Linked DNA regions of Xenopus tropicalis. The protein of the gene in region 2 binds, or shares a complex with, the protein of the main gene of each other region. Links are inferred from orthologs where the notes say so. Each region holds a gene or a part of one and is shown on either strand. Other genes may lie near its edges. The genes, in order: nup107, ranbp2, nup160, nup205, cetn3, nup214 and nup93.

Region 1 (4,162 bases), on a different chromosome or scaffold from region 2:
TTTTTTTTTTTTTTAACAGTTATATATATCTTTCAAAGAATCAGAAGTATTACAAACATCCAACCTCTTAGTGACTATAAAGGCATATCCCCACCCGACCATTCTCCCTCCCACTTTATCTCCTCTTACGTTACTTAAATATTTCAATATCAATGGAATACAAGTTCAACAGAACGCCTAATGAGAATTGTCTTGTTTTCCTTCTAATTTCTATTGTGTTGTAAATTTAGAAAATGTAATAAAAATTATAATTGAAAAAAAAAATAAAAAATGGACTATATTCAAGTATATAACTCCTCTCACCTGTATGTAAGTCTTCAACACCTCCACAGAGACCTCCTCCTAAAAGATATTTCTTTTGTTGCAGATTAGTAAAATACATAGAAAATGCTTGTGGATGCATCAAGTAACAAACAGAAGGGATGGGTCAGCTGCAAATTAATTACTTTGTTGCTTCAGTACCTAGGCTATAGGTTTCTACCCCACATGAGGCTTTGTACATATCCATAACTGCAGGGACTGTGCTGCAAACTATTTCATTATTTATTTATTTTTTACATGTTTTGAACAGTGGCAATTTTAGAAGCGTCCACTCTTGAAAACACTCTGTGTCCACTCTAAGTTAGGACTTGCTAATAAAAACACATGCCGTGATAAGAGAGTGTTTTCTAAATCAGCGCTGTCCAACCGGTGGCCCGCCACCCCCCACTGTGTGTCCCCCCCACCTGTCTGGCTGTTTTGATGGCTTACCTTTGTGTAAGCTTTAAATGGTATCAGTATTGAGATAAACTGGTCCCCTGCATGGTTCACACCTCCGATTCAGGCTGTAATTCCCCTGTATTGTTTAAACATGTAATCCCCTGTGTTGTTCACACGTTTTACTCTCTGCATTGTTCACCTACTGCATTGTTCACACCTCAGGCTCAGGCTGTAACCACCCACATTGTTCACTTCTTCACACCTCAGACTGTAGGAACAGTGCCAGCATTGTGTCACTGTATATACTGTGTATGGCACATACACCGGCAGCATAGGGCAGACAGAGCATGGCACATACTAGCAGCATAGTGCAGGCAGAGTATGGCACACACAGGCAGCATAGTGCAGGCAGAGTATGGCACACACAGGCAGCCCTATCTGCCCTATTCTGCCTGCAGGAGGTGAACCTGGCAGAGGTTTGTTCTGGGAGTTTGTTAGTAGTTGGAAATAGCTATTAAATGGTCCCTAAGGTGTGTAATTATGTTCTGGGGGTTGCTGTGCTATCCACAGGGGAGGAGGAGGCATATGGACTTAAGTGTGTGTCTTAATATAACATAATATAATTCTTTTACATATGAATGATGATTGATATCCCCACAGTGAGCACCAACCATTTGGGTTTTTGCTGCACTACCACCATTAATGTGGGCATAGTCTTGTGATAACATGGGTGTGGTTTGAAGTGGGTGCAGTTTAAAAAAGGGGAGTGATCAAAACTGGCTTCCATTAGCGACCCTCCATTATATATGCTAGAGAAATTCCGGCCCTCGGCACAACAGAAGTTGGACAGCACTGTTCTAAATGGTACTGTTCAGCCAGCGCTTTAATATATTGTGTGCAGGGCCCAAAGATATATTTCTGAAGAGTAGTAAATGTAAATTACTTCATATGATGACAATATCCATTTGCCTTTTGTTATTTTCTATGCTACAGAATTATTGTTAAGCAGCAATAAGCAAATATTCTATAGAGAACGCAGTTCATGACTCAATATCTGATATACAGTCAGCTAAAATCAATATACTAAAAAAAGGCAGACACAGAAACTACAAACACAAACACTACCTTAGTCTGTAGTCCCAGAGTTCGGAAGAATAAAATCAGATGTGTCATGAATCTCAGAAGATGTCCCAGCAGTAATTTTTTTTCATTTGCCAACCACTCAGAGAATTCATCCATAAGACCTGTATTTAATGGAAGAAAGTAGTAGTTCCTGGGTTGGGGTGCAGGAAGTGTTGGATGCCAGACAGGGAAACTAGGAGTGCCTGAGAGATTTAAACAGGCATGTTTTTAATTTTTCTTTTTATTTAAAATAAAACTTACCATCTACATCTGCAAGGATAACGAACTTCTGAATTATATGGTAGTGTTCACGGTTTTCCTCCAATACCCTCTGAAAAGCAACAATACTTGTTTAAACCATATCATTTTTTAATTTTAATACGATTATCAAGAGGAAGGCATTCAATATTATACCCTTTTGTCTGTGGCTTGAAGCTCCTCAAAAACTCTCTCTAAAGTCCAGCTTTAAAAAAATTAAAACACAGTTAAAACTTGGAAGCCAGATACGGGTTTCAGACACATAAATAAAGAGCTTGACTTACTTTGCCTCCAAATACTCTCTGGGAAGCTCATTTGCCTCATTAATTGAGATGACAGATGCTCTGATCTCTTGCTCTACCAGACTGTCCACCATAACCTTAAAATGTGCCCAAACAGTGTCTTCCCAGGACTCACACACAGGAAGAAGCTGGGAACAAAAAGCACATGCAATTCAAAATACTGAGAAGCAAAATCCAGTTCATATTAAAAACAAAGCAAAGCAAATGGCACTTTTCATGCAATTGCAGAAAAATTAATCAATTTGAAAAGAACAAAATGTATGACTAAATTAACCAGCTGCTTGGAATAGCCTACTATTACCAATAAAAGAAATGTGTATTTAGGAATGGGTACTGGGCCATTTTTTGTGTTTACCACACAAACCCCATGTCTTATTAATAAGGCATAAGTGTTTGTAAGATTACTAGTGCAGCAGAAGAAAGAAGCAGAAAAAATGGCAAAGGACATCAGGGCCTGTATGTAGTGGAAGGGATGAATGCACAACTGGAAGAACAGTACAAGAGAAAATCTGTCCAGCAGTATTATTCCCATAGTGAAAGGTGTATATGTAACCAGTTTGGTATGTACAAAATCTGACTGAGTGGAACCCTCAATTTTAACTCCTTATCTGTCGTTTTAAGACATACTAAGTGCGGTGCAGTGCATTGCAGGCAGTGTACTTGTGTTTTACAGTTTTGCAAAACCGATTTGGGTATTAGCTAAAAATCACTGTCTAATGAAGTCCTAGATTTTTCACCTAATTTTTGTACTAAACAGCAAGTAAATCCTTTTCTTCCCATGTTTCGAGTGCTTAGTCACCTTCAAATAAGAATTTTTAGCATGGCGCCTGGTCTGGTATACCTGGCCCGGTATACCTGGCCCAATCAATTAACAGAAAGCATGTGTAAATAATATGCTTACATATGGACAGATCACAACAATAACTGCACTGTAAGAAGTTCAGACTGAAAACATGATGTACCTGTTTCAGATTTCCACTCAGTGTTGCATAGATGGCTCTTTCATATTTACTGAACTGTTCCTAAAAATAATGACAATATTTAAGATTTTTCACGTGAAAAGTGAAACCCCGTGCTCGCACATGTATAGGAAGGCAAGAGCAAGGTACTATATAAAGAACATTCTAGCAAGTTTAATATTTAGCATTTTACAACTTACATCTTCTGCCATGCGCCAACAGCAGGTTTTCCACACACATCTATATGGATTTCCCTCCACAGCTTGCAGTTCAGTTCCTTTAAAAGAGAAAATATAATTTTTTATTTTTTTTTAACTCTGTACTATGCCAACAAAAGTAGTTGTAATGAACTGGATGGGAAACAATGCCCCAACAGTCACCCAGTGGGTCAATCTAATTAACAAAACTCTTACCTATATCAAGCTCGCCTACCAGGCCCGAGGGTGCCCAGATAAATTTGATAAAATATGGAGCCCATGGCTTGATATTAACCAACTGTGTTTTCGGTCTCCTGAACATTCGCTTAATAAATAAACTCTATACCAGGATGGGATAGCACTTGTATGTTTGTACAAATGTAAGTTAATGTGATTACTTTGTGTATTTCTCCGATGCATATTTGCTTCCCCATTTTTTTTTTTTTTTTTTTTACTTTTGTTCTGTATCACGGAGACACCATGACTGTCAGTAATTGTGAACAATATTTATTGTGTGTTCTTTCAATATCTTTATTTATATAAAACAAACAAAAAAATAAATAAATAATTACCAAATATTCCTTTTACATGCTGTAAAACTAGAACTAAACCTATATCAGATAGG
Region 2 (4,891 bases):
TTCCAGTATGATTATACATTCTATGCCTGTATATAAAATATCAGGAGAAGCTTTTGGACACTTTACTAAATAGAGAGGTGCATCAGCACAAAACAGAATACCATCATAATTACCAATTGTAATTTACTTGAAACTTGAAAGTACCCTCTGTTTATAAGGTATTTTTTTTTACCTACTTAACACAGGTATCACATTTAGCAAATGTTGAAAAAAATAAAGAGAAGGCTAGAGTTGTCAAGATGGCATATCAGGAGACAGCATGTTTTACTAGTTAAAAATCTTGTACAAAGTAGCTCAGGTTCTTTTGGTAGCATCTATATAAGTGCATTATCTGGGTCTTTATAAGTTTTTATGTAAACAAAAAGCACAGGCCTTGCAGTGTAGAGGCAGCGTTTACAGTATCAAAGAGTGATTAGTGTCAAGTGTGTTATTGGACCACATGGTGTGGATCAGGCTAACATGTATTTTTTTTCTAGATGGAATCTGCTTGACTTAGATTAGATTTAGGGATATAGTAGGCAACTTACTGAGAACTTATTACAACATGGGAAGGTATTTCATTTTACAAATATGAATTTTTCCAATTTGCATAAGGGGAAAGTTGGTTCATTGTGCAATTGGTCTTTCAGGACTGAAAAAGTGGGTTAAGGTTTAAAAATATGAACTTGTGAATTAGAACCTTTAAATACTAAACACATTTAGGTATTTAGAAATAAATTGTGGGTTTACGAGTTGTGCTGTGTGGTTATCAAATAGCAGGATCACAGTTAATTTGCTGAGAAGAACCCGAGTCATTAGATGAAGTACTGCTGTCAGGGAGTCTTTAAGGGCAGTGGCACACGAGGGAGATAGCCTATCGAGGAAACTTTGGGCGACCTCAGGAAAACAAAGCAACGCGTATGCCATCCCACTGGTGATTTACATTCTTGCCGTTGGGTTGGCACTGCAGGGAGATTAGTTGCCTGCGGTAATGAAGATTTGACTAATCTCCTTGTGTGCCACTGCCCCAAGGTAAGGGACCATGAGGAAATTAGTCACCTGCTGTTAATCTTGGCTACAGCCAAAAAAGTTATATGCACTGCATCTTTTTTCTGAAGTTTCCTTGTGAGGAAACTTTGGTTGACATAGCAATGCGTATGCCTACCCACTGGCAAATACCATTATAGCCAGTGGGAAGGCATTCTCGGCAGATTAGTCGCTCGTGGTAGCAAAGATTTATTGTGGGCAACTATTCTCCCCCTATGGGCCATAAACCTTAGGGTCTTCTAGCTATAGCAACATAATCAGTTTCTACTCAAAACCTTTATATAATAAAATATTAATTAAGTGTGCATATTAGTGTGGAGTTTACGGATATTATTTTGATGTCAACATTAAATATAGGATGTGGGTCTGTATGAGGAATAAAGGGATAGGTTCTTCCCTGGATTAGAAATGACAATGATACGTGTTTCTCAGAAGGATTTGGGAAGTTCTCATAGGCGTATATAAATGTATCTGAACGGATTCGTTTTTTTTTCAAGGGAATTGCTGCCAGGTTAGCAATTAGAAATCACTGGGGGAGCAAAACAATTACCACCTCCCAGCAATTCTACTTCACTTCTCCTTTAACCTTACATGCTGAAAATGCTTGTAATGCGCAGTGACTGTATCTCTTCATTTATAACAAATGTTTCCCTAGTATATTTTGTATTCTAAGGGATCCTAGTATATACTGGATTTTAAGGGAGAAAAAAAAGAGAAGGATAACCCAACATCTAGACACAGTGAACAAAATATGTACACTGTTTCCTGTATGACTATTGGCATAAACAGCACACTGCTTTATAAGTAAAGTAAACTTACAAATGCTGAACTTCTTCTCCATTATATATCTAAAGACCGGTCTATCCATAAATATAATAAAAGCCAATAAGTCATAATTTCAAGAAAAAATACACATCTGTCCTGGCATGTCAGCATTGAAAGGCATGTTTTATTTTATGTTATTTGGAATTAAATTGTTGTGTTGGACATGTCAGCACAAAAAAATGTTTTGCCTAATAAAAGAAAATACATTTCTAAGCAACTTTGCAATATACATTCATTATAAATTTGTAATGGTTTTCAAATTTTTCAACTAATGTTCTCAAATTTTTCAACTAATGTGTCTTGTGTGTTTTAGCAGAGGCAATTCTCAGTATTGACTATGGCAGGGTATTTTCTGGAGTTTAGTAGCCTTGAAAAAGTAGCTGCTACTAGTAGCCCAGTGTGTCTTCACCCTTAAGGTTTAGCCAGAGTAGGGGACACAAGAGTGACAAGAAATGCTTGGTAGCTTGACAAAAAATATTTTCTGTATGGCATTTTTATTGACTAAGTAATACATCTGTCTGTAGTTCGTTCTGTAGTGTACATTGTTAAATGTATATACAGTATTTACTGGTCTCCTGGGGTGCGACAGAGTTAAACCTAATCCATACCCACAAGCTTCAAAGCAACTGCCAAAATTTCAAGTAACCTGGGCATTTCTGTGACAACACTTTACCATCTAGAGTGAAGAGGAATCAGATTTTAAGAAACCCAGGAATGGATCCTTATCACAATAATGACATGGGAGAAGGTTGACAGGTCTGTATTATAAGGCCCTACACATCTCCCAGGAGGAGGCTGCCGTTTTGTGCAACTCCAGGGTAAAAATGAGCCTTTAACACAAGCGCTTAAACTAAGAATGGTTTCCCAGGTAAGAGGCACTGCTGCCCATTACAGTTCAAGGCCCGGGGGCGCGAATTCATGATACCGCTCACCTCTCTGGGTGATGTCGCGCTGTTCTGCGCATTTTCTATGTATCTCTGGAGCTCTGCTTTACTTCGCCTCATGCTGGGCAAGTTACCGGCCTTTATCGTTGCTGTCTAATGACCGTTCCCTCCTCTCCCACCGGTCTTTACCACGAGGCCCCGGCTTTCTACCTCAGCAGGAAAACAAACTTCAGGATCGCGCGTAAAAAGCGGATGTGACGCCTTCATAGAGACAATTTCCCCCAGTGGAGGCCGGCGATACGGTGTCGCTGACGTTTGACGTCTTCCTCATGGCCAATTGCCTCAAAGGGGCGGAGTTTATGTGTCAGCGACAACGTAAGGCGAAGGAAGGGTGTGTATATGCTTAGAGTGACAGGAATTGTATCTGTATTTGGATTCTGGAAGGGGGGTTTTGTGATGCATATCAGGTAGTACCGTGCATTTTATTTTTCTTAAATTGCTATACCAGTTCATGGCTGATGGAATTTATAGCGTTTGCAAATAGGAAAATAAAATTCGAAAAAAATCACTACACGAGCTGATTAGTACATTATTTGTCATTGACATATTAGTGCGTTACATAGGGTCTCTACCTTTTCTGGACGTACCAGCATTTTTTTTAAATGTTTTTTTCACTTTTAACTACATTGGCATCCAGCAACATTTTTACCAGCCAGGTAAACATCGTATCAGGAGAATTGCGTCCCCATCACTGACACCAGATATGTTTGTCTCATAAAAATTATTATTAGTATGCATCCAGTTACGGGTCCATATTTATCTTGCTGTGTAAAAAGTGGAGTAAGACATTATCAGTCATGTTGCCCATAACAGCCAATCAGGTGCTTTGCTTTGGTTTTCTAACTGTTGAAATCTGGCTGTTTTACTGTAAGATGGGCTCTTATATTTTAGGCGATACATACCAATATAATTTCTATGAGACAAACATATATTGTGTCAATGATGGGGACGCAGTTCTCCTGATTAGGACCACTAGGGTTGCCTATGTAATGGAAGACGTGCTTTTAAATACTGTTTTAGGTGTTACAAACCAATAAGAATTTCTGTGTGACTAACAGATCTCATGTCATTGATGGGGACACAGTTTCCCTGATAAGATTAATTCACAGTGGAATGGGGATGCAGTTCTCCCGATATGGCAAATACCAATTCTATTGGGGATGCAATTCTCCTTATAGATTCAAAACAAACTGACACATTTCCTTTTATCCTTTTAACACTACAGCGTGGGTTAGACCGAGCGCTGGCGATTTCTTTCTACATTTCCTTTTATGTAATCGGCATTCTGTCCTTTGTGCCCTAAATACATTCATGGGCAATAAGTCTCCACACTCTTTTAACAATGTCTCCCCTACAGCCCAGTAGATAGGGCTGGATTTACAAAACAGTGAGTGTTACTAGGACAGTGCGGTCAGCCTATGTGGTGAATTGCCTATGTTATAGGAACAATCAGTGTAAAAATGAAACTGGGTAAAATAGACAGACTGCGCAAAATGAAAAATGTTTTGCAAAATAGTTAGTTAGGCAAAAATGTAATCTATAAAAATTGGAATGGGCAGATGTCTAACATAATAGCCAGAACTCTACTTCCTCCTTTACAGCTCTCTAAGCTGTAAGCAGTCAGTAGCCAGTGAATTGAGGGGGGGGGGGCATATGGGACATAACTGTTCAGTTAGTTTGCATTTGAATCTGACCTGTGTGCTCACAAACTAACTGAACAGTTATGTCTTATGTGGCCCCCTCTAAAGTCACTGACTAACTAAGAGGTTAGAGAGCTGAAAGCAGGAAGTAGTGTTCTGGCTGTTATGTTATATTAGACATCTGCCTGATCCAGCCTTTATAGATTACATTTTTGCCTAACTAACTATTTTGCAAACATTTTTTATTTTGCGTCTATCCATTTTACCCAGTTTTATTTTTACACTGAACTGTTCCTTTAAGTATTTTCAGCATCGTGCTCTGCTATTCACTGTGCCATCAGATACTATTCATTGTTCAATTTGTATCTAGAAAATGTTCTCACTTTGTTTGTTACACTTATTTTGTATCATTTATGTCATTACATTTACTTTGTTACATTTTTTCATCGTGCTATT
Region 3 (4,162 bases), on a different chromosome or scaffold from region 2:
TTGATTCTGCCACATCCCTCCCGCATGTACAGAAGTGTAAGTAGCATTTTTTTTGTTTGTTTGTGAACTGCATATCATATGGGAAAAATTGACAAGCCTTAAATAATGGTTCATGTATTCTGACCCTCCTGGGGGGGGCCTTAACCAGTGGTAGAGGGGTTCAGCATAAAGGCCATTTAGGTTAATAGTTAGTTTACTCTTCTAGATACTCCTGAAAGCCCAACTAAAAGATCCTTGCATTCGAACACTTATAGCTCCCCTAGATATCCTTCGAACTATCGATCAATGTATCTTTAATATAAGCTATGGGGGGGTTGGTTTGAACAAAGTTTTGTCCTTCAAAGGAGACTTTAACCCAAAAAAGTCTGAAAACCACTGATCTGCTTGTTTGGCTATGTCACGTTACCTTATGTTCAGTGACATTGGAAATTATTCACTGACATATATTTACTTTAATGTCATATTTTTTTTTTCCCCCCAGGAAATCATTTCAGACAGCCACATTCAATCAATATTTACTGACATTGGGAAGACCAATTTCCACGATCCCAACAACACCTATGTGATTCCAGCTATTCCTGGACGAGCCCCCAATTCTACTGCTTCCACGGCATGGCTAAGCAGCGATGGAGAGGCACTGTTTGCGCTCCCCTCTGTTTCAGGAGGAATTCTTGTAATTAAAATGCCTCCTCGTGACATGGAAGGTACTAGTGATTGCCTAACATTTTATTTTTAAGAATATGGAAAGGCTTTGATGAAATAGAATCCTTGGACAGCGCTCCCTCCCCACTCCTGAACAGTTTCCCCCCCTTCACCTTTTGTCTAAGCCTTTCATTCACCTATTTCTTTGGGCAATATTTCTTAAAAAACAAACTTGTAGAATACTAGAGAGTGGACCTGATAGACAAGGAAGTACACTAAACCTATAAGCTTATGCCTGGGATGTTAATGTTGTTGGGCCATTTTGCTTTTGGTCAGGACTATCATTTACATACCTAGAGAATGGTGTGAGTAAGATGGCCACATTTTGTTGTACCTTAGGTGTACCTGCTGTACTTTTGGGGGCATAATTTTATGTTTCTATATGTATATTTCCTTTTTTCATGTTTCTGTAGGACTTGTGACCATTGCAGAATTGAAACAAAGTTCTGTAATGCAGCGACTTCTCACAGGGTGGATGCCTTCATCTATACGGTGAGTGATGTCTTGGTGGTCTCACAGGTTGGATATATTCCAAAACTCATTACAGGGATTATATCCTTTTGCATCAGTCTCTGCAACCAGTAGAGCTTACAATCTAAGGTTCATGTTAAACACACACACACTATAGTCAGTTTAATCAGGTGATTGCTATTACATTTACAGGACTAGGGAATATTTTCCTTTTAACAGTTGGTTGCTGAAATCATGTAGGGATTACATGGCACTTTTACTACTATGTTCATTGGGGGCATTGGGTTGTATCCCATATAAAAAAAAAAGTAGTAACTGATAAACTGTTGTATGGTATTGTGGCTCTCAAGATGGTAATTATGAATTTATGTGCCTAGAGGTGACCCGGGTCCGGCGCACCTTCCTGTAAGCCTTGCAGTTCATACACTTGATCATGATTCCTACCTCTTCGCTCTGTGTCAGGATCATAAACTCCGCATGTGGTCATACAAGGTGAGATTTTTTTAAATTATTTTGAGATAATCTGTGGTTTGTACAGATGGAACAGTCTTTATAACGGTATTTGGCATGATATTATAATAGTGATGTGCAGCAAGCCTGAAACCTGAGCGGTTTGGGCCAAAATGTCTGCACACAATGCTGGTTCAGGTTGGCTGTGGGTCATACTGTTCTTGCAATGCCCATAGTACTGTGTAAAACTGCTTTAAGTTTATTGCTTCAAAAATCCCAGCTTCTCCATCTTCACTGGCTCACTAGATTATACAGGTGCCATTGATATGCAATTACAAGATGGGTGCTGGTCTGACCAGTGGCAACATTTTGGGGTTAGGGTCAGTTCCAGTTGAGTTGTTCCTGACCCTCTCAGCACTATATTGAGAGTTGGTGTGGCTGTGTGTGCCACATGACTTAAGCCAGCCTCTTCTGAATTAGATCATTTTATTGTGTAATTACCCTTAAACATATTAAGATTTCATTATCTTGCTAAAACTAAAAAGACATTTAGAAAAAAAAAAAAAATTTTAAGCAGCTTTCGATTGTGACTTTATAAAAATGTTTTCGTGCTTAAAGAGCTTGTGTTACATTGTTTCAAAAGCCAGAGCCACCAGGGCAAAGTATAGAAAAGGACAGACAAACATTGATTTTCATAGCAATAATATATACAAATAACTTTAAAAAAACTGTTACAATTTTGTAATGATTGTATATTACAGAGTTGCTTAGAATTACGTTTTCTTTTTGAGTTGACATGTCCTTTAATATGAACTGTGACCATTTTATATATTGCGAACATCAGACGTCATGGTCCTTTACTTTTCCCTGGAGCACAAGTGCTTAAGAAATGAGGGCCACACAAAAGTGGCCATCTAACAAGCATCTGTGCCCTGAGGAAAGCTGCACTTTGCATACTGCATTCTGCAACATAAATGACCCCTTCCATGTTTTTAAGCTAGTTAGAAAACACAGCATAGAAATCTGGAGGCCTTGACGACAAACCTATAGAATTCCAAACAAATGATTAATAAGCCTGTATCATAGTTAAGGGTGGTAGAGATTAGCAGTAATACTTTCTGATTTGTTGGTTCTATTGTAACTTTCTTTTCTTTCTGTAATTTTTTTTTTCCCCCAAACAAAGCTAAAGCCTTTAAAAAAATAAATAAATAATGAGCTTTGGTGCTTTATTCCCAGGATCAAATGTGCCTTATGGTCGCCGACATGTTGGAATATGTGCCAGTTAGCAAAGATATCCGTCAAACAGCTGGGACAGGACACAAACTGCGGCTTGCCTACTCAGATACATTAGAAATACTTTACCTTGGGGTATATTTGCACACACCCAGACAAGGACAGGTAAATTGGAATCCGGATATTCTTTAATTATTGCAGGGGTCGGGAACCTTTTTGGCTGAGAGAGCCATAAACACCACATATTTTAAAATGTAATTCCGTGAGAGCCATACAATATGTTGGGCTGCGGGGCAAGGTAGGGTGGGTGCCAAGGATGAGGAGGAGGGCGTAGCCTGCGCTCGGCGGATAGAAGACGTGTTTTGAGGCTTAGAACACGTCTTCTATCCGCCAAGCGCAGGCCACGCCCCCTGTTATTTTTTTTATTAAAGATTTGGCAGAGAGCCAGATGCAGCCATCAAAAGAGCCACATCTGGCTCCCGAGCCATAGGTTCCCTACCCCTGAATTATTGTCTTGTCATTTTTGTGTCCATAAGTTCTGTCCTATTTCTTGTGATGCTATTACTGTCCTGTTATTTGCATTGCATCCACAGATCTTGGTCAGGCACAATGGTTGGCTATTTCTTCTTGTCTCTAATTAGAAACTCTCAAGTAGGCTCCAAAGTTTTTAGTCATGGAACTTTCTTTTGTGCCAGTCATGATGGGAATTAGATGTTGACTTACTTTAAGGTGGAAGGACTTAAAGGGGTTGTTTGGGTTAACTTTTAATACGTTCCAAAACGGCAACTTTTTAATTGGTCTTGATTTTATCTTTTATAGTTTCTGAAGGGGTCACTGCCCCCGACAAGCAAAAAAAAACTATAGCTCTGTGAGGCTACAATTTTATTATTATTGCTACTTTATTGACCAGACGTAAATTGGACCATAGCAACCAGAAATAGTTGACCGTTTTTCCTTTTGTCCCTTTTCCTAGTTCTGTGTATTCCAGTTGGTGTGCACGGAAAGCAATCGCTACAGTTTGGAGCATACTTCCTCAATATTCACTAATCAGGTAAGCAAGTTGTTAAGAAAACTCCCCCAAAACAGTAAAATAGCATTTGAAATGGATTCCGACTTCCCGCTTCAGCAACGCCTTAAGATCTTTTCGGTGTCACCGTTTGTCATAGTTTCATTATAAAACGTTTTTTTTTTTTCCCTATTTTCTGATCAGGAAACTCTCATCGACTTCACTTTTACTTTATCTTCTATGAACATTTGGGCTTTGTGGCTGGACGATGACAACCAAACAGTCATGAAACACATAAAT
Region 4 (4,162 bases), on a different chromosome or scaffold from region 2:
TCCCTCCCATATGTATAAATACAAATATACAGAGAAGGAATGTTCTGGGCACACAATAAGCTGTACCCCCATACTGTACTGTCTAAGGGAAACACTATGGCACCCCCTACCCATATGTATAAATACAAATATACAGAGAGGGAATGTTCTGGGCACACAATAAGCTGTACCCCCCCCCCCCCCCCATACTGTACTGTCTAAGGGAAACACTATGGCACCTCCCTCCCATATGTATAAATACAAATATACAGAGAAGGAATGTTCTGGGCACACAATAAGCTGTACCCCCATACTGTACTGTCTAAGGGAAACACTATGGCACCTCCTACCCATATGTATAAATACAAATATACAGAGAAGGAATGTTCTGGGCACACAATAAGCTGTACCCCCATACTGTACTGTCTAAGGGAAACACTATGGCACCCCCTACCCATATGTATAAATACAAATATACAGAGAAGGAATGTTCTGGGCACACAATAAGCTGTACCCCCATACTGTACTGTCTAAGGGAAACACTATGGCACCTCCTACCCATATCTATAAATACAAATATACAGAGAAGGAATGTTCTGGGCACACAATAAGCTGTACCCCCATACTGTACTGTCTAAGGGAAACACTATGGCACCCCCTACCCATATGTATAAATACAAATATACAGAGAAGGAATGTTCTGGGCACACAATAAGCTGTACCCCCATACTGTACTGTCTAAGGGAAACAATATGGCACCACCTACCCATATGTATAAATACAAATATACAGAGAAGCAATGCATATTAAACAGATATAATAGTGTGGCATAGAAAAGTTACACTATTATTACACAAAATTACCTCAATCCCGACTCCTTGCCGTAGCCCTGGGGTTCTTACAGTCTGCAAAATCTGTTAATAAAAGAAAAAAGCAAAAAATTAAAAAATTAAGTACATTTTCACACTTCCTGCTATATTCTGTCAAATGTACTCAGGGTACATAATATAACTCTTATTGTCTTATGCTTTTGGCGGTTATACTCTGCCACCCAGCCAGTGTGATTAGCTAAAAGAATACATTACATACCTGTGTATATTCGAGGGATTGCCAGAGGGATGCTGCGATCTCTGGGGATTTGCCAAATGCAGCCAGTGTCTTCAGGAGCTCAGCCTTAAGGAGTGGTGGGATGCTGCACTGCAGGAGGCCAAGAATAACGACCACTGGCATCCACTGGGCATGCTCACACAGAGCAAGGCGGGCACTTTCACTCTGCCAGCAAAGAAGAAGTCACTATGAAACCACACCATATAAAATAAATAGGATGGAGGAAAAGCAGACAATTTGCTCTGCTTGCTCCTGGCCTACACATACTGAAAATCCATGTGCTTCTATGGATACCATCCGGGGGTGATACTAATATCTACAGTTCGTATTAATGTTTGTGTATATATAGTTTATTTATGTGAGTGTATAGATACGTCAGTGTGGGTCTGTATGTGAGTGGATAGATAGGTCAGTATGGGTCTGTATGGGAGTGGATAGATAGGTCAGTATGGGTCTGTATGGGAGTGGATAGATAGGTCAGTGTGGGTCTGTATGTGAGTGGATAGATAGGTCAGTGTGGTTCTGTATGTGAGTGGATAGATAGGTCAGTATGGGTCTGTATGGGAGTGGATAGATAGGTCAGTGTGGGTCTGTATGTGAGTGGATAGATAGGTCAGTGTGGGTCTGTATGTGAGTGGATAGATAGGTCAGTGTGGGTCTGTATATGAGTGGATAGGTCAGTATGGGTCTGTATGTGAGTGGATAGATAGGTCAGTATGAGTCTGTATGTGAGTGGATAGATAGGTCAGTATGGGTCTGTATGTGAGTGGATAGATAGGTCAGTGTGGGTCTGTATGTGAGTGGATAGATAGGTCAGTGTGGGTCTGTATATGAGTGGATAGATAGGTCAGTGTGGGTCTGTATATGAGTGGATAGATAGGTCAGTATGGGTCTGTATATGAGTGGATAGATAGGTCAGTATGGGTCTGTATATGAGTGGATAGATAGGTCAGTATGGGTCTGTATGGGAGTGGATAGATAGGTCAGTGTGGGTCTGTATATGAGTGGATAGATAGGTCAGTATGGGTCTGTATGTGAGTGGATAGATAGGTCAGTATGGGTCTGTATGTGAGTGGATAGATAGGTCAGTATGGGTCTGTATGTGAGTGGATAGATAGGTCAGTGTGGGTCTGTATGTGAGTGGATAGATAGGTCAGTGTGGGTCTATATATGAGTGGATAGATAGGTCAGTATGGGTCTGTATGTGAGTGGATAGATAGGTCAGTATGGGTCTGTATGTGAGTGGATAGATAGGTCAGTATGGGTCTATATGGGAGTGGATAGATAGGTCAGTATGGGTCTGTATGTGAGTGGATAGATAGGTCAGTGTGGGTCTGTATGGGAGTGGATAGGTCAGTGTGGGTCTGTATGTGAGTGGATAGATAGGTCAGTATGGGTCTATATGGGAGTGGATAGATAGGTCAGTGTGGGTCTGTATGTGAGTGTATAGATGGGTCAGTGTGGGTCTGTATGTGAGTGGATAGGTCAGTGTGGGTCTGTATGTGAGTGGATAGGTCAGTGTGGGTCTGTATGTGAGTGGATAGATAGGTCAGTATGGGTCTGTATGTGAGTGGATAGGTCAGTGTGGGTCTGTATGTGAGTGGATAGATAGGTCAGTATGGGTCTGTATGTGAGTGGATAGATAGGTCAGTATGGGTCTGTATGTGAGTGGATAGGTCAGTGTGGGTCTGTATGTGAGTGGATAGGTCAGTGTGGGTCTGTATGTGAGTGGATAGATAGGTCAGTATGGGTCTGTATGTGAGTGGATAGATAGGTCAGTGTGGGTCTGTATGTGAGTGTATAGATGGGTCAGTATGGGTCTGTATGGGAGTGGATAGATAGGTCAGTATGGGTCTGTATGTGAGTGGATAGATAGGTCAGTATGGGTCTGTATGTGAGTGGATAGGTCAGTGTGGGTCTGTATGTGAGTGGATAGGTCAGTGTGGGTCTGTATGTGAGTGGATAGATAGGTCAGTATGGGTCTGTATGTGAGTGGATAGATAGGTCAGTATGGGTCTGTATGTGAGTGGATAGGTCAGTGTGGGTCTGTATGTGAGTGGATAGGTCAGTGTGGGTCTGTATGTGAGTGGATAGATAGGTCAGTATGGGTCTGTATGTGAGTGGATAGATAGGTCAGTGTGGGTCTGTATGTGAGTGTATAGATGGGTCAGTATGGGTCTGTATGGGAGTGGATAGATAGGTCAGTGTGGGTCTGTATGTGAGTGGATAGATTGGTAAGTATAGGTTGTGTGTGCTGGGTTTACTTGGAAGGGTTGAACTTGATGGACTCTGGTCTTTTTTCAACCCTATGTAACTATGAAGGAATGACCTATATTACAGACTATATAGTATCTAGAAGCCAAAGCGGTGTTTACCCAATCGACGATGGTAAGGGTGAGCTGCAAGCAGGCAATCAGGCCATCGAGCTCTCGCTGGGTGATACCACGGAGAGGAGGGTGACGCAGGTGTATACTGTCTGTGCTTGGTAGATCCCTCCGCAAGTGCTCGTGGTACAGCATCAAAGAGTGGAAGAAGTGGTCCCAGGACACTGGGCTACCCCCTGCAGCTTGCAAGCTCTCTGCTGAAATCATGAAAACAGGGCCTATCATTTTCCCATAAAATATTATATATTGCAAAGTAGTTAACATTGCATATGCATATTATATTAAAAAATGGCAACTAAAGCAAAGGATTCCATGTGTGCAGGCTCAGTAGCGCATACTGTATGAATCTGGGGGTTCAGCAGCCCTGGCCACCGAAATATATTACCCCAATCCTTTAGGGTGAAGACACACGGAGCTACTAGTAGCTGCTATACTTTAATGATAATTGTCTCTGTGTGTTTTTTAGCAGAGGCAATTCTCAGTATTGTCTATGGCAGGAGATTTTCTGGAGTTAAGTAGCTGTGAAAAAGTAGCTGCTACTAAGTTGCTCAGTGTGTCTTCACCCTAAGTTACCTTGGCTGAGAAGTGTCCAAGTTGTTTAATGCTCATGCGTGAATATCATATGAGATCATGGTTTCTATGGTCAGGGACCGGTGAAACATAAGCCAAAGGCTGTGAGGGTCGAATCAATA
Region 5 (4,944 bases), on a different chromosome or scaffold from region 2:
AAAAACACAGGTTGCATTTCTTCATACAGTTCCTCGAAGTGGAGTGAATGAAAGATAAACCTTAACTAACCTAAAGTAAAAGTTTGTCTGTAGGAGCCCTTAGTCAGTGCTAGGGAAGCCTGGAAAACGAAAGTGCATTGGTGGAGTAGCACTATTTTGTTTCTCTGAACTGGTCAGAAAAAAACAAACCAAAACGCAGCCACTGAATTCACTGGGTGGGAATCTGGCTTGTGGCTGTTAAAAGTGATGCATAACTTAGGGTATGTTGCAGTCATGTTTTCCCACTTACCAACTTCATTAAAATCATCAAATGTAATTTTGCCTGTTGTTTCACCATCATAGTCTTTAAGGATTTTTAGGACATCTGCTTTTTTTACATCAAATCCCAGAGCTCGCATTGCTACCTGTAAATAAAATACATGATTATGTATGAAAAAACTCACCCTACTATCACCCTTGCAGGCCGTGTATTTTATTTATTATAAACAAGACCCTTGGTGCTGGCTGTGTTTTATTCTATATATATCTATCTATATATATATATATATATATATATATATATATATATATATATATATATATATATATTTATTACAAAAAAAAAAAAAAGACACCAGCAACACGGAAATTTGTTTAAACCACAAGACCCTTGGTGCTGGCTGTGTTTTATTCTATATATATCTATATATATATATATATATTTATTACAAAAAAAAAAAAAAAAAAAAGACACCAGCAACACGGAAACTGAAATGTACTGTTATATTTGTAATCCCTACTGATAACATCCCCAGCCTGCACCAACCACCTCTCCCCGCTTCCCCTGTATCCCCCAACCACTCTATAAACCTGCCTACTCCTACTCACCCAATCACTGCTTGATCCACCACCTCTGCATCACAACTTGCCCCTTTTTTACATCACAGCTCCTTAAGCCCTCAGACATCATCATGCTGCCACTTTTCCGTCTCGGCTGGTATTGCCCAAGAGAAAAGTTGGCAACCCTATCCCGTTTCCATACAATCAACCATTAACAGAGAGTCAGGCCATTTTAAGTATCATTTAAGGGCTGTGACACACGGGAAACTTCGGCGACATCGGCAAATCGCGCCGCCACGTATGCCATCCCATCGGCAATTTACATTCTAGTCGGTGGGATGGCATTTCGGGGAGATTAGTCGCCCGCGACAAGGAAGATTAATCTCCCCGTGTGTCACAGCCCTAAAACTCATCTTGTCATCAAATTTATAATCTAACCTGCAAACCACTTGGATCCCTAGCTGACACTGTAAAGCAATTACCCACAGCCAGATAAACAGAGAACCTCTACACCCAAACATGCCACCCCCACCTAATGACTCCCTCCTTTAAAGCCCCATGGCATGGATTCAGCTTGGCAGAACACTAAGAACACCAAGTCCAAATCTTGGAAAAAGTTTTATTACCTTTAATTCATGATAATCTATTGCTTTATCTTTGTCTGTATCGAATAATTCAAATGCATCTTTTATTTCCTGTTTCTGTTCTTCTGTTAATTCTCTTCTTTTCTTCTTTTTCGTTTTGTCAACTGCTAGATCAGTCCTGCGAGAGACGTGAGTTACTAACATAAAACATACAAAGCACATAACACTGAAACTGAATTTTCCTGTTACTCTGGCCTGGTGGTGGTTGCACTGTTTAACACTTTGTGTGCTGTGCCCTTTTGATCTTCCTGTTGCCATTAAACACACAGTGCAGCATATTTCAAAACAAATAACAGGCTGTTGCTGCTAGCGCAGTATGTGGCTTTTCAAGTATTACAGAACTACAACCCCCAAGTAGTTACAACTCCTCATCTAGTTAGCTGACATTTCTAAACACTTGGAATACAAGTGGGACAGATGTACTGTGTTCCAACCTGGGAATCTGTTCTAATCTGGGATACAACTAGATATACAAAGTGTTTATATTCAAGGATCTGCACACCTGTAGTAAATACCTGGAATGGTGGTTTTTAGCCTTATTTAGTTTACCTAAATAAGGAATAAGCATTGTACCTAAATCGCACCCTAATTCATATAAACTATTCCTGGCCCATAATTTAGGATAATGTACATTTTTACAGATGAGCCCAAAAATGATTTGTTCACTAGTGAAACACCAACATAAAATCCCAGAGTTGTCTCTAGTGAAAGATCCCTGTCCCCCGGCATAAGTCAGCTGTGATGATGGAACAGAACAGAAACATACAAGAAATGAGAGCATTTCCATATGCAGCTTGCCATACACGTAATGACTTGCCTGTGTGGTCAGGGCAACATTTGCATGGATCCTCCCTTAGTTCAGCCACCCACACAGAGAGCCAAATAGCCAAATGTACCCGTTTACGGTTTTGCATCCAGTCAGGGGCCAACCAGTTACTGTCTTTTTAAGAAAAGCCAAACTGCTCATGTATTGGCACACTTATTCACTCTATGGGCCAATAAAAGTGTATGGAATCCAGTGTAACATCTGTACCAGTTCTGTCTCTGCCGGCCCCCACTCTGATACACACTAATATATATATAATCACTTTATATTTCACTTTCACATTACAAAGGCATTTACACAGACAAGATAAGTTCTGACACAAAGTGCACCAATAAATAGCCCCCTGCTAAGGGAGACTGATGGGTAACAGTTTCAGGGGAAAGGAACACATACATGAGGCTCAGAGCACAAAAGGTAAGTCAAATGGCAAAGGACCTATTTGGCGTTACACTTGTAATTGTTAGTGTATTAATAAAGAATATCCAATCTGCAGCTCGCCAGCTGTTGTTTAACTGCAACTAACCCCATCACCATGTGGCGCTGAGAGTTTCAGTATAACAAAAGCTGGAAGTAGCACAGATAGGACACTGCTATTTTATATAAACCTAACTCTATAGGGGTCCCAGCCTTCCAGCGCTGTGAACCCCCTTTCCTTTGTGCTTCCAATGCACCCACCTCACAGCCAAGCTCATCGCTCCTCCGCTACAGACGCACAGCGCTGCCACACTCCCTCGGTCAGCCGGGGCTGCTGTCCCACTTACAGGCCTAGGCGCCACCTCGTAAACACAAGGCAGCGCCTCCGATTGGCTACCGTTACAACTTCTCCCCTAGCAACGGGATCAGCCTGGCACTAACAGCGCCTTGTGATTGGAGAGCAGTGAGGCGCTTGGGGGAGGTGCCGGAAAAATGAGCTGGTTACTAGGCAGTGACGTAACAAGGCGCTTGGAGTGTGACAAGGAGCGGGAAGCTCAAACTCATGCACAGTGCGAGAGAAATGCAAGCGGCCCCGTAACGCTTGAATAGTACACCTCCCGGCATGCTTCACTACCTTACAGCGAGCTAAAGCATGAAGGGAGCTGCCACCTAACCCACATATCAGGGCTGAATTTTAAAGTAAAAATGATAGAAATATATTTTGATAGTAACCCCATTCCTGTGTAAATCTGGTAACATACTTAGTTTGGATGATTTACTCATACCTTTTAGCAGCAATTCATGCTCCCTAATAGCTTCCACGTTTTTTTATTTTAATTGTGTGGTTGCCAGTTAGTGTAAACTATTCCCTAAAAATGAATATGGCTAGAAATGCCATATTTTATATAAAAAACTGACTGGACTGGCTTAAGGCTAATTTGGAGAGTAGTAGTCAGCACTAAGCCTTGTGATTAGTTAGAAGTAGTGCAGGTTCCCCAATGGCCACTTTCCATCGGCATATCCTGGTACAGAAGAACAGGAACAGCACCTCTTGTCTTTGTAAATTAAAATGCCTTTATTGCAAAGTTTTTTGGGGCAAACAACAACAGCAGCAACGTTTCAGGTCACATAAGACCTAAAGGTTGCTGCTGTTGTTCTTTGCCCCAAAAAACTTTGCAATAAAGGCATTTTAATTTACAAAGACAAGAGGTGCTGTTCCTGTTCTTCTGTACCTGGCTTAAGGCTAATGTCAGACCAGGCCGAATGAATAGAATACGCTCGGGTGCAGGCACATGTAGCCGATACCCATATAAAAACGCAAGAGAATGCAAAGTCTTGCACACGGGCGTATTACATACATTCGGATGCAGGCACAGGTAGTAGGTGTATGGCGGCATTTACGGCATTTTCAGGTTGCCAAAAATATACACCATACGCCTTGTCTGACATTAGCCAAAAGTTTCAGCATCTCTATAGTAGTAATAATATAGGTCTTTACAGTTGTCACAGGAGCTCCCCATTTTGGATTCTGTTAGAACTGTCGGGGGCAGTGCACATGTTCGGTGAGCTCTGAGAGGCAGTTGAGAAGCTGAGCTTAGGGGTCATTGCAAATTATCAAGCAGAAAATGACATATGTCTGTCATATAAGTGGATTCAACAGGGTTAATTATTCAGTTCTGATGCAGTTGCCCTTGTTTCAGATTGCCCTGGTTTTAATACTATATAGAGGAAAAGGAAATCATTTTTAAAAATTTGAATTATTTGCTTATAATGGAGTCTATGGAAGATGGCCTTCCTGTAATTCAGAACTTTTTGGATAAGGGGTTTTCAGATAACGGATCCCATACCTGTATTAGCTCTTCCTTGTCTGCATTTTTCCAATCTGCAACTGAACATGCAATCTAGTTGAGAGAAGGGTCACTGACCCAGGCAAACGGACCATAAAATTACAAATCTGGAACTGTGCGACTTGCGACTTCAGTTCAAGTCCCAGCAGTCCATATACATAAGAACATAATGATGCTATCCCTCCCTTTAAATCTGGATGTTATAACCACATTCAGTAATGGACAACAATGTTGTTTTTAGAGTTTTGCTTTAATGAACATGTATCATCCTATAAATGAATGGCTGTACATATAAATTATATTCACATGATATAGTGCAGTGTGATTGTTTTAGCACATATAGTTCAGCTAAACACAAAAGCTGTACAAACACACACATTGTGCAATAATGCCA
Region 6 (4,162 bases), on a different chromosome or scaffold from region 2:
GACTAATCTGCCCGCAATGCCATCCCACCGCCAAGAATGTAAATCGCCGGTGGCATGGCATACGCGTTGCTACAATTTCCTGATTTTTCCTCTCAACACAACTTCAGGATGCCATCCCATCGGCGATTTACATTGTTGCCGGTGGGATGGCATTTGGAAGTTTAGGTTTCTTGCAACTGAATGAGCTCAAAAAGTTGCTAAATTTATAAACACTAAGCAAAGTTTGAACCCAATCAACATTTGGACACTTTTTTTTTTTTTTTTTTAAAGAAAAACTTTTAACTACTATATTGCTGCATTTTAATATTGTTTTCTGTTACTTTCCTCTGCAGTTATGGGACCCCAAGGTATACACGTGCCTATGAGTTGTCCCATTCACCATTTGGCCCTGAGCTCTGACAATCTGACACTATCCGTCTGTATGACTTCTGCTGAACAGGGAACTTTTGTCTCCTTCTATGATGTTCGGACGCTGCTGAATGAGGTATTTATATACTTTCCAGGTAAAGCTAGTATTTCTGTCAGTCTCAAAAATAAACAGGTGCTTTCTGAATAGGTTTTAAAATTAAATTGCATTAGCTTTGCCAGGAAAATTTTGCTGCTAGAAATCAATGTATTGAGTCTTTGGGATGCAACATTCTTCTGTTTCTCATTCTTGTATGTGGCAGTGACTTCAGCCTGCTCTGTCCATGTGTTTAATTTCTGCCTCAGTGTACAGGGGCTTTAATGGCTGCAAAATCCAGCACTTTTTACCCTTCTATAGATGTAATAGTGTAGCTTGCATTTGGTAATTTGTACAGTGTAATTGCCAATATAGCTTGTGTCGTCACCATATTGGAAGTTGCTGTCTAGTCTGATGTTCTAACTAGTGGCCTGTGAAGGATCCCAGGTTGTAGTATTAATGGTTAATACTGAAATCCATTGATATGTTTCATTTCGGCTACATGGCAGCCCATTAATTGATTTGTTTGCTTTTCTGTGCAGTCCAAGCAGCAGAAGACCCCATTTGCAAGTTATAAGTTGCTGAGAGATCCCAGCAGCTCTGTTACAGACCTACAATGGAATCCTGCCTTACCCACGATGGTTGCAGTGTGTCTGAGCGATGGCAGCATCTCTGTCCTGCAAGTCACAGACACAGTCAGTATGTTTGCCAACCTCCCAGCTGCTTTGGGGGTGACTTCAGGTAAGTGGCATCACACTCGGTTTGGCCAGACAGTTCCTGGCCCTTTTTTTTGTAATAATTTTTATTGAAAATTGTAAATATGTCTCCTTTCCTTTTTTTTTTTCAGTCTGCTGGAGCCCCAAAGGGAAGCAGTTAGCAGTAGGGAAACAGAATGGAACAGTTGTACAATACTTGCCGGTAAGTGATATTCACACACTTTAAGAACAGAAGTTACAGAACTGTATATATTACACACAGTACTTACTTGTAAGGATGGTGACGCTGTATCAGGACAGGGAAAGCCTGAAGCTCCGAGCTGTTGCAGATTCGGAGAGGACAAAAGCCTGATGATTTTTTTTTTTCACACTTTCCTCATTCAGCTGTTTTGCTCACAGATCCATATTAAATCTCTTATACTGTTTAAAATTGTCTGAATCACAGTGACATTGCTATTAAACCAATGGCAGCACTGGGATCCAGACATAAATAGCCCTAGATTGTCGAGTTTAAAGGACAAGAAAATGGAAACCGGTTTGGGGAAATGTTCTGGGTTCCTTTATAACAAAATCTGATAGGGTTTTATTTCCTAGTCCCTGCCTGCAGTCACTTAAAATGGTAGAGTGCATTTTATAGCTACAGACTACTGTATAGCAACCATTTTTAATAGAATAACAGAACTTTTCCCATATATTTTGCCTAATAATTCCTTTTCTGGCTAGCCAACCATTTACCCTTTGATATGCCATTGAATCAGCCTTGCTTATGTCATATTGCATCAAAAGTGTCCACTCCTACTGCAGACTAGAATACTGCCTTAAAGGGCTTCTGAACCAAAATGTGTTAAAGAGCCCCACACAACACAGAAAAGTATCAATCTTTACCATTTGTTTATGCTGAAATCCAGCTGCAAAACAGTTCTTCTATTTTTGCATCAAATGATGCATATTTTTTAACTGATGTATATTGTAAAGTTGCTTGAAATTATGTTTTCTTGTTAAAAAGAAGTTGTGTTTGGGTGGGAATATGTTGCTTTGAACTCCACTGACTATTTGACAAGTTCTTTTTTGCAGGAAGTGAGCAGATAAAGACTTTATTGATGCCAGTATTCCCAACCAAAATTAATTCCTTTTTGCTTTCAGAGTCTTCAGGAGAAAAAAGTGATCCCGTGCCCTTCGTGTTACGACCCTGATAACCCTGTAAAAGGTGCTGCACATAGACTCTCTCCTGTTGTTTATTTATAGTGTTTTGTTTGGTGTATGTGTGGGTGCATACGTGTATCGTTATCCACCACTACCATACAGCACTGTCACCTAAGCCTATTCATGTTTTTTTTTTTCATTTGTTTTGTTTCCAGTGTTGGATGTGCTGTGGCTCAGTACTTATGTCTTCACTGTGGTGTATGCTGCCGCTGACGGATCATTAGAAGCCTCTCCCCAACTAGTTGTAGTGATACTTCCGGTATGTGCATTTCCCCCATTTCACCTATTCTAAATAGGCACATCTCCCCCATCCGTATAGAATAGTTTGTATTGCATATATCCCCTTCGTTTTCCAGTGCCATCACATTTTCCTATAACAAATAGCAGCTTTCACCTGGCAGCCATTTTCCCCTCTGACACATCATCATCATCAGTGACATTTACATCTGCAAATAGCACGTGTGCCCTGTAAAGTTCATGCAATAAATAATGCGGGCTTACACAGGCAGAATTTACTTTGATAAAAAGTTCTGCTTGAATTGAACACTGTAATGGTTAAGCTGGGCTCAAGACAGGAGGTTAGAAGAAAAGACAACTAGAGCAGAATTTTTTTTGGATCCAGCCATACCATCTATTCATTGGCTACTAGACTGGAGGGAATGTTTAGTAATCTGAGCTGAGAAGAACTGAGCATGCTCAGTAGCCAATACCCAAAATAAATTCCTGAGGTAGGGAGCCGAATGGGTTAGAGAAGGTGAAGGAAATCTAAATGACTAAGGGGATTCTGCAGCCTTACTATTAACCTTTGAACAACCAGAGTGGCAGTTATTTAAAGATTTCAAAGAGGCTGTTCACTGATTAGATTTTTTTTACATGTACTGATTAAAATCATATGAAGCCTTGTGTATGGCCTTTACTTTGGATATCAGTTGGTTCTGTGATCGGCCAGTTTGATAATGTATATATGGAAGTTAAGAGGAGCTGTTGATCTGATTATTCTAGCTGTCTTTCCCGACTGGATGCAGACAGCCACAGAATATTAGATTTAGATCACATTTAGATTGTAATCTCTATGGTGTAGGGACCTCCGTCCTCTTGTCTCTTTCACACTTAACTCCTGGGAATCCTAAATGCAACTGTACTATGTATTTATTATTTTACTTTGTATTTATTTATTATTGTATTGACCCCCAGTTTGTTGTATTAATTAATTTATCTGCTGTACAGTGCTGTGTAAAGCTATATAAATAAAGATATACATACATACAAGTTGTTTATATCCATGTAGAAAAAAGAAGACAAACGAGCAGAGAGGTTCCTGAACTTCACAGAGATGTGCTTTAGTATCTGCAGTGAGCGACAGCACCATTTCTTCCTGAATTATATTGAGGATTGGTGAGTGGTGTTTGGAAACTGTTTGGCAAAATAATCATTTGTGAACTGATGATTTCAACATAGAAAATGCTGGTGAATCACTTTTCCTGGCATTTCTGTGCACAGCCAGAGACTTTGTTATTATTCTGTTTTTTCCCTCTAGGGAGGTTCTGTTGGCAGCATCAGCAGCCTCAGTAGATGTTGGTGTGATTGCGCGGCCCCCTGACCAGGTAATAAAAGTTGCCTTGATTTTCTTTTTTTTATATTTTTTTTTTTGTTTAAATAGATGCATATTGTGGTTCCTATTCAGTCTATAACTAAATCGGAGCTTTCTACAGTGCCGACACCAAGCTAAAGGCGGCCATACATGGGTCAATGGAAGCTGCAAATGGACTGTATATGTGGCCCTCTGACAGGCATACCCGAC
Region 7 (4,856 bases), on a different chromosome or scaffold from region 2:
CTGCTGACTGAGTGTGTTGGGGGGGAGTGAGAGCAGGGATCAGCTGGACTGGCTTATATTTTGTGCCATGCTGAATGGGGGGAGGGAGCAGGGGGTGGTGATGACTGGCTTGTGCTTTTCAGTGCCATGCTGAGTGTGTTGGGGTGGGGGGAGCGGGGACCTGAGCGGGGGGGGGGGGGGGTTGTGGCAAGTTGGTTTGTGAGCCAGAAGGCAGCAGGTGGGATGCATGTGCAGTAGAGATGGTTAAAAATGGTGGCACCATTCACTGAAACAAGTATGTAGTTTATAGTATGTGTATCTCTGTAAATGTTTCATTAGACAAGCCACAAATATAGCGTTTTTACACAGGAATAGTAGTACTATTTAATAGTGTGCTTAATAGATTTTGACTTTCCTTGTTCTTTAAAGTTGTCCTCTAAATTGTGGAAAATATTGCCTTAGTCTTCATATAAAACATTAAATGTGCTTTTGGAGCCCTGGATCATTCTGCTGCAAAACTGACAGGGAACCGGCATGTTTATGAATTAGGACAAGAAGAAAAGATTTCTTCTAGTTGATTGCACCCATGGCCAACTTCTAAACTAGTTCTTAAAATACATTTACAGCCCAAATATAGAAACTGACCATAAGTAGATAGGTAGGCTATTGGCCAGTCTCTCATCACATAAAGAGAGCAGGCCTTGCAGTATCCCCACAGAACCAAATTCTACTACACAGTGACAAATGAAAAAAACAGAAAATTGCATGTCATCTTTTTTTATTGCTTTTAAAATTACAATTGAAAAGCACAAATTACTGTTGCCAACCATGAACAAAAGTCTGGGACCCTCCAACACCACTAAAAATAAAAAGCCTAAAAACTAAAGATTATTATTGGTACCCATTGTCTTCTCTCAAACTAAATATTTAATGTTGTCCCTAAATTGTAAAAAAACATCCTAACTTTTCACATAAAACACTGGATGTGCTTTGGGGGCACTAAATCTTTATGTTTGGAAATTGGCAGGGAACCTGCACATTTTTGAATTAGGACAAGAAAAAAAGTACTTCTGGTTGATCTAACCCATAGCCTTCTAAACTAGCTCATGTACCCTCCCTGGAATGTGAAAATCCTGCCCATTGTTTGCACAAACATACTGGGATCTAAAACCACCATAAAAAAGCAGAAAATACCAAGGTTCATTTTGGTGAAAGTCACCCATTGCCTTCTTGGTAATCAGCCAGTTTGTAAAAAATCTGCTTCTTGTTTACAATACACTGGGACCAGCAAAAACACTTTCCTTTTCGGTCAAATTTGACGAAGAGGCTCTGACAGCGGTAAATACTGTTGGCAATCAGGAAAATGTGTCTTTTTTTCATTTCCTAGCACAAGCTTCAGCTCTGAGTGGAAAATAGAAATTACTTCTGATAATATTGAGAATTACGGTGGCGAAAGGAATAGTAGGCAAAAAAACATGAAAGAAGTCTGTTTTGTTCTTTAACAAGAGTAGGAGGTGCGAGCAGGGCAAAAACCCAACTTGATAAGACCTGGCGCCGCTTACTAACAGCTTACGATAACGTACCGCTCAGTTACGCTATCTCTGCTTGTCACTTCCCACAACACGACTGACTACATGACGTTTGCGTGCGTTACGTTAGCCAGACGTCACAGTCTCGCGTGACGAGACTTTTGGTGTCGGGATTTTCTGTAATACAGGAGGCGGGAGCTTGCAATTGACATCTTTGCTGAAAGTGTGAGTAGTGTTCCTAGGGCTGTGTTAGGAAATGCGAGTGTCTTGTAAAAAGAGGGACTATTGGGCAGTATGAAATGGGTTCCAAAATGTGTTTAGTATAAAGGTTGAAGGTAGCAGCGATAGTTACTACCCATTAATGCCTTAATAGGGATTTATCTTCTGTCTATTTAGTCACGTGTATCATCCGTTCACAGTCAAATACATGCATTCTGAGGGATTCCTTTTGTTTCAGTATGTGCTTTGAATATCATATTTATGTTTTTGTGCCAATAGTATAATTAATAGGTAATAAAATATGTGAAAAAAAATTCTTAAAAACGTGGAGCTGAACATTAGTGGAATAATGAATGATTCCCAGCAATGCATTATTTTTCTATTTAACAAAACTCTACTGTCCTGGCAGCCAGATGCCATTCTGTTCTGTGGGGAGATCATCTTCAATGCATAGTGGTCCATTTTGGAATGAATCTTTCCAGCATAGAAAATAAACATTGGCTGTCAAAGTTTTATTAAGTTGAAATTTGATTGCTGGTCAATTTAAATTGGTCAGGCCTTTATCAGCTCAAAAGACTATTTATGAATCAATTTTTATACACATCTAATACTGTTTAATTAGTGTTTAGTGGTTTTTATTATAGAGGTGAAATGGTTAAACAGTAGCAAGAATTGATAATTGTAGATATAAATGCCTTTCCAGAGATGAGTTTTAGTTGTCATTGTTCATGTTCTTCCTCCACTGGGAAAATGTACCCAATTGTTGAGCAGTTGTTATCCATCAAAATGCTTCATATTCAGTTTCCTTTTTGAAAGATTGTTTTCTAATTACCCCAGGTTAAAAAGTCTAAAATGAAATTGGAAACACATTTATTTTAAAGATTTGTATTAATTAGTTTTCTCAACAACATAAACAGACAGTGACCCAGCATTATATGAACAAAGCAGTAATTACAAGGGTTCAGATTATATTCATACACAATTTAGACACCTGTTAGGCAAACAGATCTGCCTCAAGGCAGGCATTAAAACAGGAATCCTATCCTCAAACTTTTTGGGGCTTCGTCTAGTAAGGGGTGCCAGTTTTATAACTGATAGAATGCAATTAATTAGATTTGCTTAAAGGAAAACTATACTCCCAGAATGAATACGTAACCAACAGATAGTTAATATCATATAAATAAGTGGCCTATTGAAGAATCTCTCCAAACTGGAATATATATATATATATATCAGTAAATATTGCTCTTTTACATCCTTTCCCTTGATCCACCATTTAAAGATGCGCTGTGGGTACAAGAAATAATGTGGGAGCAAAAGGCAATTTTCTATTTAGGGTTACCCAATAGCACATACTACTAAAGAAGTATATTAAGTATATTTTTATGAAAATTATTTATTTAGAAGAAACAGGGTTTTACATATGAGCTTGTTTATGCAATATATTTTTATAGAGACATACATTGTTTGGGGGTATAGTTTCCCTTTAAATTGCTGACCTGTGGTTGGTTGAAGAGTCATCCACTTTATTGTACCAGTTTTTTGGCATAGAAATATAGTGTTTTTAGAAGAGTTCTGGATTTATTCATGTGGGCCAGATCATTAAAGGGGAACTCTCAAAACAATTTTAAGTTTTTTGAAAGCAAACATAATGTCAACCAACTTTGTAATATACATCAATTAAAAAAATATGCATCCTTTTCATGATTTTTAATGTAATAATTTGGTCAGACCCCTGTTCTTCTGCTGATCTGGCTGACTACTTTGAGACTCAAATAAATTGTAATAGTAGTAGGCTGCCTTCAGCCTGCATCCTCTATCCCACTATTCCCTGCACACTTGATGTCAATAAGGAAAGGAACATCACATCGCAATGCATTGGGGCCATGTAGTTCCTGTAAACTGTGGAAAAGTTATTTGTAACATCAATGTCTCCTCCCCTGCCAGGATTTCAAATAATACAGAAACAGTAGAATTTTTTTGCAGCTGGTTTTCAGCATATAAAAATGGTTTATTTATACGTTTTGATTACAGTGATAGGTATATTGTGGGTTTCTGTGTTCTCTGGGGCTCTTTAACAAATTTTGGTTTGGAAATAATTGTATATTGTAGGGCATGCCAATAATAAATGAAAAGCTGCCCATGGCTTTCAGCTTCAGTGGTGTGATATATGTCTTATGAATTATACTAAATTGCACCATCTTTCTTTGGTAGAAATGAAGTAGTTATAGAGGTCATTTGTCATATTGTCCCACATATTATTATGTAAGTGGGAATCACCTTCCCACTTGTGTTTAGCCATCTCAAATGGTGCTTCTAAAGAGGATAGCAGTATTTTAAATAGGTCAGATTTCAAATTATTTGGGTTTTGGTCCCATAATCTAAAATTAAGAGATAAGATCTTAGTGGTAACCAGCTGGGGGGACCAACCTCGGCAATGAATGTATGGCGGTAGCAGTATAATTGTTATAAGATAATAGTCAGCTAATTTATTTTCTTTGTAAGTTTAGTCAGGTTTGGAAAAGTGTCCTCGACCAGGAGATCTTGTAAGTACCAGATCCCTAGTTTGCACAAATACTGAAAATCTAGCAGAAGCAGGAAATTGTGATAATTGGTGTTTCTCCATAAGGGAGAGCAGGGTAGTGGTGGGAGGGCAGCCTTTGTAACTAGTGTAGAGGTCAGTGTCCTCGCTTTCTATGAGTTCATCAATATAGGGGGTATCTTGGGTGTCTTTGGCTTTTCTGGGATATCCCGTAGCGGGAGGTGCACCCACTGGCCACTCATTGCTTTAAAATGATGCATCATAGGTTCAACATAAATAATATAATCGTTGGTATTTTGGGAGATAGTAATACCTAGATATTTAAACTTAATAACCCATTTTCAGCCCTGGACCTTGCCTTTCTCTAGGTCGGAAGTAGAGGGTTGATTTACCCTTGTTAATAGTGAGCCCACTAAAAGGAGAACAAAAGCCTAACTAAAGAATTAGGGCAGAAATGTTGTACATTATGTTTTGGCCTTCTGTACCAGCCCAAGGCGACCACAGCCTTTTAGTAGGGAAGATCAGTGCCTCCAAAGATGCCCAGTAGCTTCCCATCTTCTTTTTTGCTGATTCACTGCACATTCTCT

What was found.
Region 1: ranbp2 (region 2) and nup107 share a complex: the UniProt entries of both Homo sapiens proteins name them as parts of the nuclear pore complex. The link is inferred for Xenopus tropicalis from reciprocal best matches to the Homo sapiens genes RANBP2 and NUP107.
Region 3: ranbp2 (region 2) and nup160 share a complex: the UniProt entries of both Homo sapiens proteins name them as parts of the nuclear pore complex. The link is inferred for Xenopus tropicalis from reciprocal best matches to the Homo sapiens genes RANBP2 and NUP160.
Region 4: ranbp2 (region 2) and nup205 share a complex: the UniProt entries of both Homo sapiens proteins name them as parts of the nuclear pore complex. The link is inferred for Xenopus tropicalis from reciprocal best matches to the Homo sapiens genes RANBP2 and NUP205.
Region 5: ranbp2 (region 2) and cetn3 share a complex: the UniProt entries of both Homo sapiens proteins name them as parts of the nuclear pore complex. The link is inferred for Xenopus tropicalis from reciprocal best matches to the Homo sapiens genes RANBP2 and CETN3.
Region 6: ranbp2 (region 2) and nup214 share a complex: the UniProt entries of both Homo sapiens proteins name them as parts of the nuclear pore complex. The link is inferred for Xenopus tropicalis from reciprocal best matches to the Homo sapiens genes RANBP2 and NUP214.
Region 7: ranbp2 (region 2) and nup93 share a complex: the UniProt entries of both Homo sapiens proteins name them as parts of the nuclear pore complex. The link is inferred for Xenopus tropicalis from reciprocal best matches to the Homo sapiens genes RANBP2 and NUP93.

The regions. Positions count from the first base shown.
Region 1 is NC_030679.2:58,837,126-58,841,287, reverse strand, and holds part of nup107 (nuclear pore complex protein Nup107), read right to left. Parts: intron 3,618-4,162; coding exon 3,541-3,617; intron 3,404-3,540; coding exon 3,344-3,403; intron 2,510-3,343; coding exon 2,364-2,509; intron 2,285-2,363; coding exon 2,236-2,284; intron 2,153-2,235; coding exon 2,083-2,152; intron 1,944-2,082; coding exon 1,825-1,943; intron 343-1,824; coding exon 304-342; intron 1-303. UniProt on the Homo sapiens protein: Plays a role in the nuclear pore complex (NPC) assembly and/or maintenance. Required for the assembly of peripheral proteins into the NPC. May anchor NUP62 to the NPC. Involved in nephrogenesis.
Region 2 is NC_030678.2:109,312,439-109,317,329, forward strand, and holds the start of ranbp2 (ranBP2-like and GRIP domain-containing protein 4), read right to left. Parts: upstream 3,088-4,891; 5' UTR 2,856-3,087; coding exon 2,784-2,855; intron 1-2,783. UniProt on the Homo sapiens protein: E3 SUMO-protein ligase which facilitates SUMO1 and SUMO2 conjugation by UBE2I. Involved in transport factor (Ran-GTP, karyopherin)-mediated protein import via the F-G repeat-containing domain which acts as a docking site for substrates.
Region 3 is NC_030680.2:15,983,697-15,987,858, forward strand, and holds part of nup160 (nuclear pore complex protein Nup160), read left to right. Parts: coding exon 1-36; intron 37-481; coding exon 482-704; intron 705-1,115; coding exon 1,116-1,194; intron 1,195-1,550; coding exon 1,551-1,665; intron 1,666-2,859; coding exon 2,860-3,021; intron 3,022-3,829; coding exon 3,830-3,907; intron 3,908-4,066; coding exon 4,067-4,162. UniProt on the Homo sapiens protein: Functions as a component of the nuclear pore complex (NPC). Involved in poly(A)+ RNA transport.
Region 4 is NC_030679.2:6,640,736-6,644,897, forward strand, and holds part of nup205 (nuclear pore complex protein Nup205), read right to left. Parts: intron 3,668-4,162; coding exon 3,462-3,667; intron 1,252-3,461; coding exon 1,069-1,251; intron 894-1,068; coding exon 843-893; intron 1-842. UniProt on the Homo sapiens protein: Plays a role in the nuclear pore complex (NPC) assembly and/or maintenance. May anchor NUP62 and other nucleoporins, but not NUP153 and TPR, to the NPC.
Region 5 is NC_030677.2:178,970,352-178,975,295, reverse strand, and holds the start of cetn3 (centrin-3), read right to left. Parts: upstream 3,008-4,944; 5' UTR 2,982-3,007; coding exon 2,965-2,981; intron 1,582-2,964; coding exon 1,446-1,581; intron 405-1,445; coding exon 290-404; intron 1-289. UniProt on the Homo sapiens protein: Plays a fundamental role in microtubule-organizing center structure and function. As a component of the TREX-2 complex, involved in the export of mRNAs to the cytoplasm through the nuclear pores.
Region 6 is NC_030684.2:12,402,669-12,406,830, reverse strand, and holds part of nup214 (nuclear pore complex protein Nup214), read left to right. Parts: intron 1-332; coding exon 333-484; intron 485-984; coding exon 985-1,183; intron 1,184-1,289; coding exon 1,290-1,360; intron 1,361-2,301; coding exon 2,302-2,365; intron 2,366-2,516; coding exon 2,517-2,620; intron 2,621-3,649; coding exon 3,650-3,756; intron 3,757-3,898; coding exon 3,899-3,965; intron 3,966-4,162. UniProt on the Homo sapiens protein: Part of the nuclear pore complex. Has a critical role in nucleocytoplasmic transport.
Region 7 is NC_030680.2:43,613,923-43,618,778, forward strand, and holds the start of nup93 (nuclear pore complex protein Nup93), read left to right. Parts: upstream 1-1,725; 5' UTR 1,726-1,733; intron 1,734-4,856. UniProt on the Homo sapiens protein: Plays a role in the nuclear pore complex (NPC) assembly and/or maintenance. May anchor nucleoporins, but not NUP153 and TPR, to the NPC. During renal development, regulates podocyte migration and proliferation through SMAD4 signaling.